Macaca mulatta: one gene and its partner. The protein of the gene in region 1 interacts with the protein of each later gene in a pairwise test. Links are inferred from orthologs where the notes say so. Each region holds a gene or a part of one and is shown on either strand. Other genes may lie near its edges.

What was found.
Region 2: the proteins of MIA2 (region 1) and TTC23L interact in binary tests that used the Homo sapiens proteins (3 or more experiments, as listed by UniProt). The two-hybrid records come from large-scale screens. The link is inferred for Macaca mulatta from reciprocal best matches to the Homo sapiens genes MIA2 and TTC23L.

The regions. Positions count from the first base shown.
Region 1 is NC_133412.1:112,352,835-112,357,287, forward strand, and holds the start of MIA2 (melanoma inhibitory activity protein 2), read left to right. Parts: upstream 1-1,604; 5' UTR 1,605-1,843; coding exon 1,844-1,958; intron 1,959-4,453. UniProt on the Homo sapiens protein: Plays a role in the transport of cargos that are too large to fit into COPII-coated vesicles and require specific mechanisms to be incorporated into membrane-bound carriers and exported from the endoplasmic reticulum.
Region 2 is NC_133411.1:35,899,555-35,904,130, forward strand, and holds the start of TTC23L (tetratricopeptide repeat protein 23-like), read left to right. Parts: upstream 1-1,552; 5' UTR 1,553-3,021; coding exon 3,022-3,413; intron 3,414-3,430; exon of another isoform or gene 3,431-3,678; intron 3,679-4,576.

The DNA of each region.
Region 1 (4,453 bases):
CCACAACACCTGGCTGATTTTTGTATTTTTAGTAGAGATGGGGTTTTACCATGTTGGCCAGGCTGGTCTTGAACTCCTGACCTCAGATGATCCTCCAGGCTTGGTTTTTCAAAGTGCTGGGATTACAGGTATGAGCCACTGGGCCCGGCTGATTTATTTTATTTTAAAGTAATATATGGGCCAGATGTGGTGACTCATGCTTGTAATCCCAGCACTTTGGGAGGCTGAAGCAGGAAGATCACTCGAGTCCAGGAATTCAAGATCAGCCTGGCCAACACTGTGAGACCTCATCTCTACTAAAAATAAAATATTAGCCAGCTGTGTCCTGCATGCCTGTGGTCCAGCTACTCAGGAAGGAGAGGTGGGAGGATTGCTTAAGCCCGGGAGGCTGGCCTGGGCTAGAGTAAGACTCTGTCTCAAAAACCAAACCAAACCAAAAAAGATATATGCTTTCTTTTTAAAAAAATAAAGCCAAACAATATAGAAAAAGTCAAACAATATAGGAAACTACAAAGAAGAAAATACCACCGGAAATCACACTATATACTTCCACTATGTGGGGAGCACTTATTCAGGTATCTTTCTTTCATTCTCTGTCCACTTACAGAAATACGCATACAGTTTTTAAAACATGGAGTAATACTCTACCTGCTGTTTCTGGAGTAGTATTGTTGCAGACAGAGTGACATCTTTACACGGCAGATGACTTGATTCTTGGTGGTAAAGCAAGTGGTTGGTTATAAGTATGGGGTCTCATCGTACCTAGGTTAACATTTCTTTTCCATTCACTACGTGCCATTGAGTGAGTGATTTAACCCATCTCTCTGTGCCTCAGTTTCCTTATATACTAAAGTGGGGATGATAATATTACCTACGTCAGAGAGTTGATGTGAAGGTTAAATCAGATCAGATATTTAAGTACTTACTTAAGACAGTACCTGGAACATAGTAAGTACTTACTACATTTTAACTATTGTTCTTTTTCTTTTTTTTTTTTTTTTTTTTTTTGAGACGGAGTCTCGCTTTGTCGCCCAGGCTGGAGTGCAGTGGCTGGATCTCAGCTCACTGCAAGCTCCGCCTCCCGGGTTTACGCCATTCTCCTGCCTCAGCCTCCCGAGTAGCTGGGACTACAGGCGCCCACCACCTCGCCCGGCTAGTTTTTTGTATTTTTAGTAGAGACGGGGTTTCACCATATTAGCCAGGATGGTCTCGATCTCCTGACCTCGTGATCCGCCCGTCTCGGCCTCCCAAAGTGCTGGGATTACAGGCTTGAGCCACCGCGCCCGGCCTTAACTATTGTTCTTAACTAAATAAGTTTTAACTTCATAGTAACAACAAGGGGTTTTTAAATATACAGGTGGAATCTTTTTAAAAATACTTTTCACCATGATATTTCAAAGCCATTCTTTTAACATAAATTATTACTATTTTTGCACACACTATGTACATTATCCACTGAAATTAGTATTTGCAGGTAACTACGCTTTTGTGGAGACCTACTTAAAAACTGTCTTGTTGAACACAAGGTACCTTTAAGTGAGACAGTTTTACATGGGCTTCCTTTATAAGACATTAGTCCAACTAAAAATCCTTGTTAATTATTAAACCCTTAGGTGTTACAGGAATACCTGACACTGCAGATTGGAAACAGACAGTGTTTGTCTTTCAAGTTAAACCAACAAGTCGGTAGAAAAATGTAGTTATCAAGAAATTTTTAAAACTTCAACACTTTTTCTCTTATATTTAGTAAAGAGAGTAAAATATCTCCTGTTTTGGCTGACATCTCTACAGCCTGAACAATTGGCTTAAACCTCACTTGGGATTCCTGGTTGCTTGTTTTAGCATGGAGAAACTTGGCGTCCACAGAATCTTTCTTCTGGCTATTTCTCTGACAAAGTGTCTGGAAAGTACAAAACTGCTGGCAGACCTGAAAAAATGTGGTGACTTGGAATGTGAAAGTAAGTTTGCTTCCCCCGCTTCTTCTCCTCCTAAACTGGGGCTCTGAAATGACATAAAATCTTATTGTGGTCATGCATGATAAAAATGAGTACTGGTATCATTGAGAAATATTTGCATTATGAAGCATAGCTTGGTGTAAAAAAGAAATGTTGGAAGCAAAGCATTTTGTGATAGTATTTAATACAAATATACAAACAGCAAAAATCAGTCTGCTATAGAAATATATCAGAAGTTAAAATGATATTAATTCATACCTCAAAAACAAACTAATCAGCCCTTTTACTATTTTTAAAGATAAATCTGGGAGTCTCTGAGCCTATTCTGGCTCAGAAGGCTGCCCCATTAAAAAAAAAAAAAAAGGATAAATCTAATTGATTCACATGAAAAAAGACATCAGGCTAATTTGATAGTCCTTTATTTACGAAAGCCTTTTACTTTTTAGTTTCTGTTTCACACACAGAACTTTCTGATTCTCATGACGTTCCTAAAAAGTGTTCTTATTTCAAACCATCATGATTTATTCTTCTAAACCTTATCAAATGTTAATCATTTCTGTGTTATTATGTAAAAATACTGAAACCAGGGTTAGAATATAAATTTTTTATTTATATCATTGAATATAAAGCTTTTTTTTTTACTGTAAATGGAAATTAATTTCCATTCTATTAAGAACTAATTTTCTGTTATTCTATGGTGCAAAATAAATTATATCCCAATATATTAGAGTTGCTTTAAATAAGTTATTTTTCCTTTTGTTTTTATGTTATAATAAATATGTATTTTTTCTCTCGCAGCAAAATCAAGAGTTGCTTTAAATAAATTCTACCTTTTTGTTCTTTTTTTCTGAGATGGAGTCTTGCTCTGTCGCCCAGGCTGGAGTGCAATGGCACCATCTCGACTCACTGCAACCTCCGCCTCACAAGTTCTCCTGTCTCAGCCTCCAGGTGCACAACACCACACCCGGCTAATTTTTTGTATTGTAGTAGAGACGGGATTTCACTGTGTTGCCCAGCCTGAGCTCAGGGAATCCATCCGCCTCAGCCTCCCAAAGTGCTAGGATTACAGGCATGAGCCACTGCGCCTGCCTGTGAGAATTACTTCTAATTTGTAACATGAAAATTAAAAATGGAAAACATTATTAGTATAAACATAAATAATTTATAAGTAATAATTTTGAGTAAACATTCTTCCTTAACTTTTTGGACATATAACGTAATATGTAGAGAAGTTTGCTATATGATGTTTTATTGTCATAATAATCTTTTGGCTGGGTGTGGTGGCTTGCACCTCTAATCCCAGCACTTTGAGAGGCTGAAGTGGGAGGATCACTTGAGTTCAGGAGTTTGAGACCAGCCTGGGCCACATAGTGAGACCTCATCTCTACAAAAAATCAAAAAAGTTAGCTGAGCATGGTGGCACAAGCTATAGTCCCAGCTACTAGGGAGACTGAGGGTGGAGGATGGCTTAAACCTGGGAAGTGGAGGCTGCAGTCAGCTATCATTATGCCACTGCACTCTAGCCTAGGCAACAGAACAAGACTCTGCCTCAAAAAAATATATATAAAGAAAAAAAAAGTCTTTCTTTCCCTCTTTATATTACAACATCATTTTAGTTTTCTTAAGGCCAGACATAGAACCTGAAAAGGGAACATTCAAATTTATAGAAATTTATGATGTTATTTTAACTTTAATTGCATGACAATAAAAATATCTTGTTTTACACATGTCAGTATAATTATAATAGATAATATGGTGTGTATATTACTTCATGTGTTGAACTGCTGAATCTGGCATATGTGGCTGTGATTCGTTCATAGTTATTGAGGGCCTACTACATGTTGGGTTGGATGGGGGGCAGGTGCTATGCATCTAAGGAGAATAAAATGAGATGTAAGATAAGTTTCTTCCCCTTCAGAAAATTTAATTTTAGTGAACGATGACAAGACAGGTTAAATGAAACAGTAAATAGTGATGCAGCCTAGTAAGGATAATAGGTAATATTAAAGTTCAGAGAAAGGGCAATCGGAGTAGGTTGGAATAATCAGGCTGCCTCACAGAGGAAGCAGGGCATGACTCAAGCATGAAGGGGCAAACAGGTGTCTAGACTGGGGAAAGGACAGAAAGAAAAGCTCAGAATAAGGAAGGAGATTTTGCAGTGAGAAGAACCTCAGGGCAAATCGGGCTCCACTGGGGTTGTGTGACCAATTCTCTGAGCCTTCACTAAAGACTCATTTGTTAGACTGAGATGAAATTATTTACCTCATAGGTCTGTTTTAAGGATTTAATAAAATAAAAATATGAGAGCAATTATCATAATGCCCAGAATATGGTAAGTGCCAGGAAGAAAACTGATTACCTTTTTTCCTTTCCTACAGACTAGAGAATGATGATGATACGTTCCAGGGACAATGGATAAACAAGCTTGAGTGTAGCCAAGTCTGTGTGAAGGGATAGGAGGAGGTCCTTTCAAAGAGAGAAAGGGGACCAGGTTATGG
Region 2 (4,576 bases), on another chromosome or scaffold:
ATCACCTTCTAGATCCCTCACTTGGTTTTATTTTTCTCCATAACTGTTTATCACGTTTTCGTTTTCTTTTCCTTTTTTTTTTTTTTTTTTTTTTTTTTGAGATGGAGTCTTGCTCTTGTCACCCAGGCTGGAGTGCAATGGAACAATCTCGGTTCACTGCAACCTCTGCCTCCCAGGTTCAAGCGATTCTCCTGCCTCAGCCTCCCGAGTAGCTGGGATTACAGGTACCTGCCACCACGCCCAGCTAATTTTTTACTTTTAGTAGAGACCGGGTTTCGCCATGTTGGCCAGGCTGGTCTTGAACTCCTGACCTCGTGATCCACCTGTCTCAGCCTCCCAAAGTGCTGGGATTACAGGCATGAGCCACCACACCTGGCCCACTTTTTCTTAAGGCGACTCATCTAGCTAAGGAAGTGAGTGAGTCCTGAATTCCAGCCCACTCTCTGTTCCCAAAGCTGTACTCCTTAGCAGCGGTCTGAGTCTGGCTGGAAGAAGAGGCTTTTCCCAAATTCATACAATGTTGCGGCATACTTCCTAAGCCTTATGCCTTTTTGTAACTTGCAGAGACACTATTGTTTACTAGCAGCTGTGTTTTTCTTCATCTAGTAGAACAGAAATTCCTGGAAAGCAAAATCATTCTTATTTGTTCACTTTTGCTTTCCTACTGCTTGTAACATTATCAGGCACATAGTAGGTATTCCACAGATATTTTTGTCTGGTTGGAAGGATAGATGTATGGAGACTGGAGAAACTTGCAAATAAACAGAAATGCCAGTACAATGTGAGAATCAGGATGAGCTTGTGGACAGGATACTGCGGGAGTTCAGAAGCAAGGCATCTAACCCTCTCTTGAGAGGCCTTAACAATGTGTTCCAAGAGAAAGTTTATTTGGATTTCCTTGCCTTAAATTTCACAGTTCCTGGAGATAGAATAGTTTGGAGATAATCATATTTGATTTGGGGTTGTAAGAGCCTAGAAAACTCTCCAGACTGCTTCCTCTATGCAATTTCTGCAGTAGCAAATTTCTCACCTCTACCTCCAGATCAGGGGAGAGAATGTGAATACACACAGTGGAAAAGCACTATCCACTTCGATTAGTGGGATTCCACCCCAGAGTTAGTGAACAAACCTAAAAAGTGTATATACTACAACTAAAGCTTACATTTGGGGGACAGGGTTAACGTGGCAAGGAAAGAAAATACCACAGAACTTCAAGAGTCTTCAAAGTTCTGGCTGGACGGTGGCTCACACCTGTAATCTCAGCACTTCGGGAGGCCAAGGCAGGCAGATCACCTGAGGTCAGGAGTTCCAGACCAGCCTGGCCAACATAGTGAAACCCTGTCTCTACTAAAAATACAAAAACTAGCCAGATGGTAGTGGCACAGGTACTGGCCTGTGATTCCAGCTACTTGGGAGGCTGAGGCAAGAGAATTGCTTGAATGCGGGAGGGAGGTGGAGGTTGCAGTGAGCCAAGATCACACCACTGCACTCCAACCTGGGCCACAGAGTGAGACTTCGTCTCAAAAAAAAAAAAAAAAAAAAAGTCGTCAAAGTTCTTTCATTTTGATTTATAATTTTTACAGATGCAGGCAACGTGCTTCTGGTCAGAGCTAATGAAATGGAGGCCGAATCAGAGCGTTAGCTTCAGGAATGGGAATTCAGCGTCTGTTCTGGTTCCACTTCCCTTCACAATTATCAGCAAAAGCAAAGATTTAGAAGACATTACCGTTAATATACTTAGAAACAATCCCATAGCCACTTCCTACAATGAAAGAACACTAAAACCTTTCAATTTGATGACCAACTTAACAAGGGGTGAGAGAAATAAATGTTGGAGAACAGGAAACAGAGTCTTCCTTTTTACTGCCATACATGTTAAATACTGTTCATGGAGTCACAAAAATCGTTTACCCCTTACAGAAACCTGGAACCAGAAGGAGCTTCAGAAACTAAGTGGTACAAGTACTTTCACTGTATAGGCAAGAAAACTGGGACCCACACACTTGTCAGAACCAGAACCTTGACATTCTGAAATCAAGTTCATTGCTGTCATCATTGTTCCATGCTGAGAGTTTTCTTAGGAAAAACGAGGAAGTGGAGGAATCTTTCCAAAATTGTGACTATGGAGCTCGAAGGTACTGATTTAAATCTTGAGTTAACAGACCATACAGGCTTTACTTAAGAGATATTCAAGCAAACTCATTTAAATAACTCCTCCAAGCTAACCCTAGAAAGGCTTTCTTGGCAGTCTTGGATCAATGGCAATTAAACTTCCATCCTCGAGCTGGAAATAACAAACACCAAACGTAAATACCATCTGTCACATTCTCAATGTTCTCCTTGTCTCTCTACCTAGTCTGCTCTTTTCTGAAAACAACTGGGACACATTCACTCCAACTTGACTTGCCATAGGCCTAGTCTGTGATAGGTTTCATAATAACATCCTTCAACATAGCGTTGTTAAGAGCTGGCGCTGTTTGGGTATGGCCACAACTGCCTCTGCTCCTTCTGTGCATTATACACACTGTGTATTCCAGACACTGTGTATTCCAGACACTGTGTATTCCAGACACTGTGTATTCCAGACACTGTGTATTCCAGGCCAACGAAGGGGTAAGATATGGCTGCATTATTTAGGGCTAAGTGCTAAATGTGCCCGACTCCCTCGCTGAACAGCTAACCATTAGCAGACCTTAGAGTAGTTGATTTCTTAGCCTACTCACTTCCTGCAATCCGCTTTCCTAACCAGGCCTAGCTCCAATCTGACTGGGTAGAACAGACGATGCCAGCACAGTCAACAGCCATATCTAAGCCTTTCCTCTGGGGTCCACGAAAACAAAACTCCCGAGGAGCTGTGGGGGTGCTCCGTAGCAAGGGATCGTCGCCGAATCCAGCCCGCACACGTCGCAGCTTTAAATAGGTAGGGTCGTGGGGCCTAGTGCTCCCTTCCATCTTTGGACGGAATGTATCTTCTCTTCCTATGCCTTCACCTCCGAGTGGTAAGGTCTCGTGAGATACAATATGCAGAGGCCAGTTTTGGGGCGAGCCGGAGGCCGTGAGCGTCTAGCCTGCCGGGACGGGAAAGCGGAGGGTGCCGTAAGAGCTGCTGTAGGCTCTAGCCAACAGGGACTCTCCGAACCGGAAGCGCCCCGCGTCGCTATGGCTACAGGCGCTCGCTGCAGGCCCGTAGCGTTCCGTCCCCATGGCAACGGTATTGTCTCCTTGGCCGGAACCTGGGTTGCGGAAGATAAAGGGGACCTCGCAGGCTGTGTAACTTCTGCGAGGCACCGCTTTGGCGCCCGGACCGAGATCGGCCAGGATCAGGAGGCCGACGCAGCGGGAAGAAGCCGCGCAGTCGGGCTGAGGGAGCGGGGAGGCTGGTTCCGGGGCGTGGATTCCCCGCCTTGGGCAAGGTATGCTGTGCGCACTCGCGCGTTCTCTTAGAGCTTCCGCAGCAGGGTCAGTGCTAAGCAGAGCCCGACCTGTGGCGTCAGGGCTTAACGGAGTGACCGCGGAACCACAGCAGGAAAAGAGGAGCGAATCGTACCTGAGTGGGGGACCAGAGTTTAGTGTTCAGGGCCATGCGGAACATCATAGGAAAAGAGTCCGGAAGTTTGAGAGATCAGAACGCCTTGCTGTGGGCATAGTGTTTAAAGTGGAGGTTAAAAAGAGAAATTAGTGAGTCTCCCTTTCTGATTTTCGGTTAGTGGATGCTCTGGAGCCTGGGTCAGAAAGCCACTCAGGGGTCGGCGGGAATGAGTGATTTCTGGAGGGTGAAATGAGAGGCTACTTGGTGGATGTTAACGTTCAGTAAATAACTGCGTTCGATTTGGATTTGGTTTAAGCGCCTGGCATAGCCTTCCTTGAGAGTTGAATTTCACAAATACTGTATTTAGAAATCACATTTTTCGTCATGTGCTTCCGAGGTTTCCCCCATCATCTAACAGCAACAACTAAAACAGACACATGAATTTCATTTTGTTGTTTTATTTTATTTTGAGATGGAGTCTCGCTTTGTCGCCCAGGCTGGAGTGCAGTGGCGGGATCTCGGCTTGCTGCGATCTCCCCCTCCCGGGTTCAAGCGATTCTCCTGCCTCAGCCTCCCGGCTGTGATGTCAAAATTCTGTGATACTTACAAACTCAGCCTCCTGGGTAGCTGGAACTACAGGCGTGCACCACCACAGCGGGCTAAATTTTGTATTTTTAGTAGAGACAGGGTTTCACCATGTTGGCCAGGCTGGTCTGAAACTCCTGAACTCAGGTGATCCACCTGCTTCGGCCTCCCACAGTGCTGGGATTACAGGCGTGAGCCTCTGTACCCGCTTTGTGACCCCCTTTACTAGAATCTGCTATTAATTAGTGAAATGACCCCAGCGAAAAAAAGCAGAATTAACCAACACACTGTGCTTCGTTTACCACTGAGAACTGGTTGCTTTGCTTAAATCCATCATGCCGTCAGACCTGCAAAAACAATATCTGAGTTGAGTAGGTGACCATAGTTTTGATGACCCAGGAGCTGTAAATGTGCTTGAGACATAAAGGCCAGGGATTTTGGAGAAGTAGGGTGGAGTTGAAA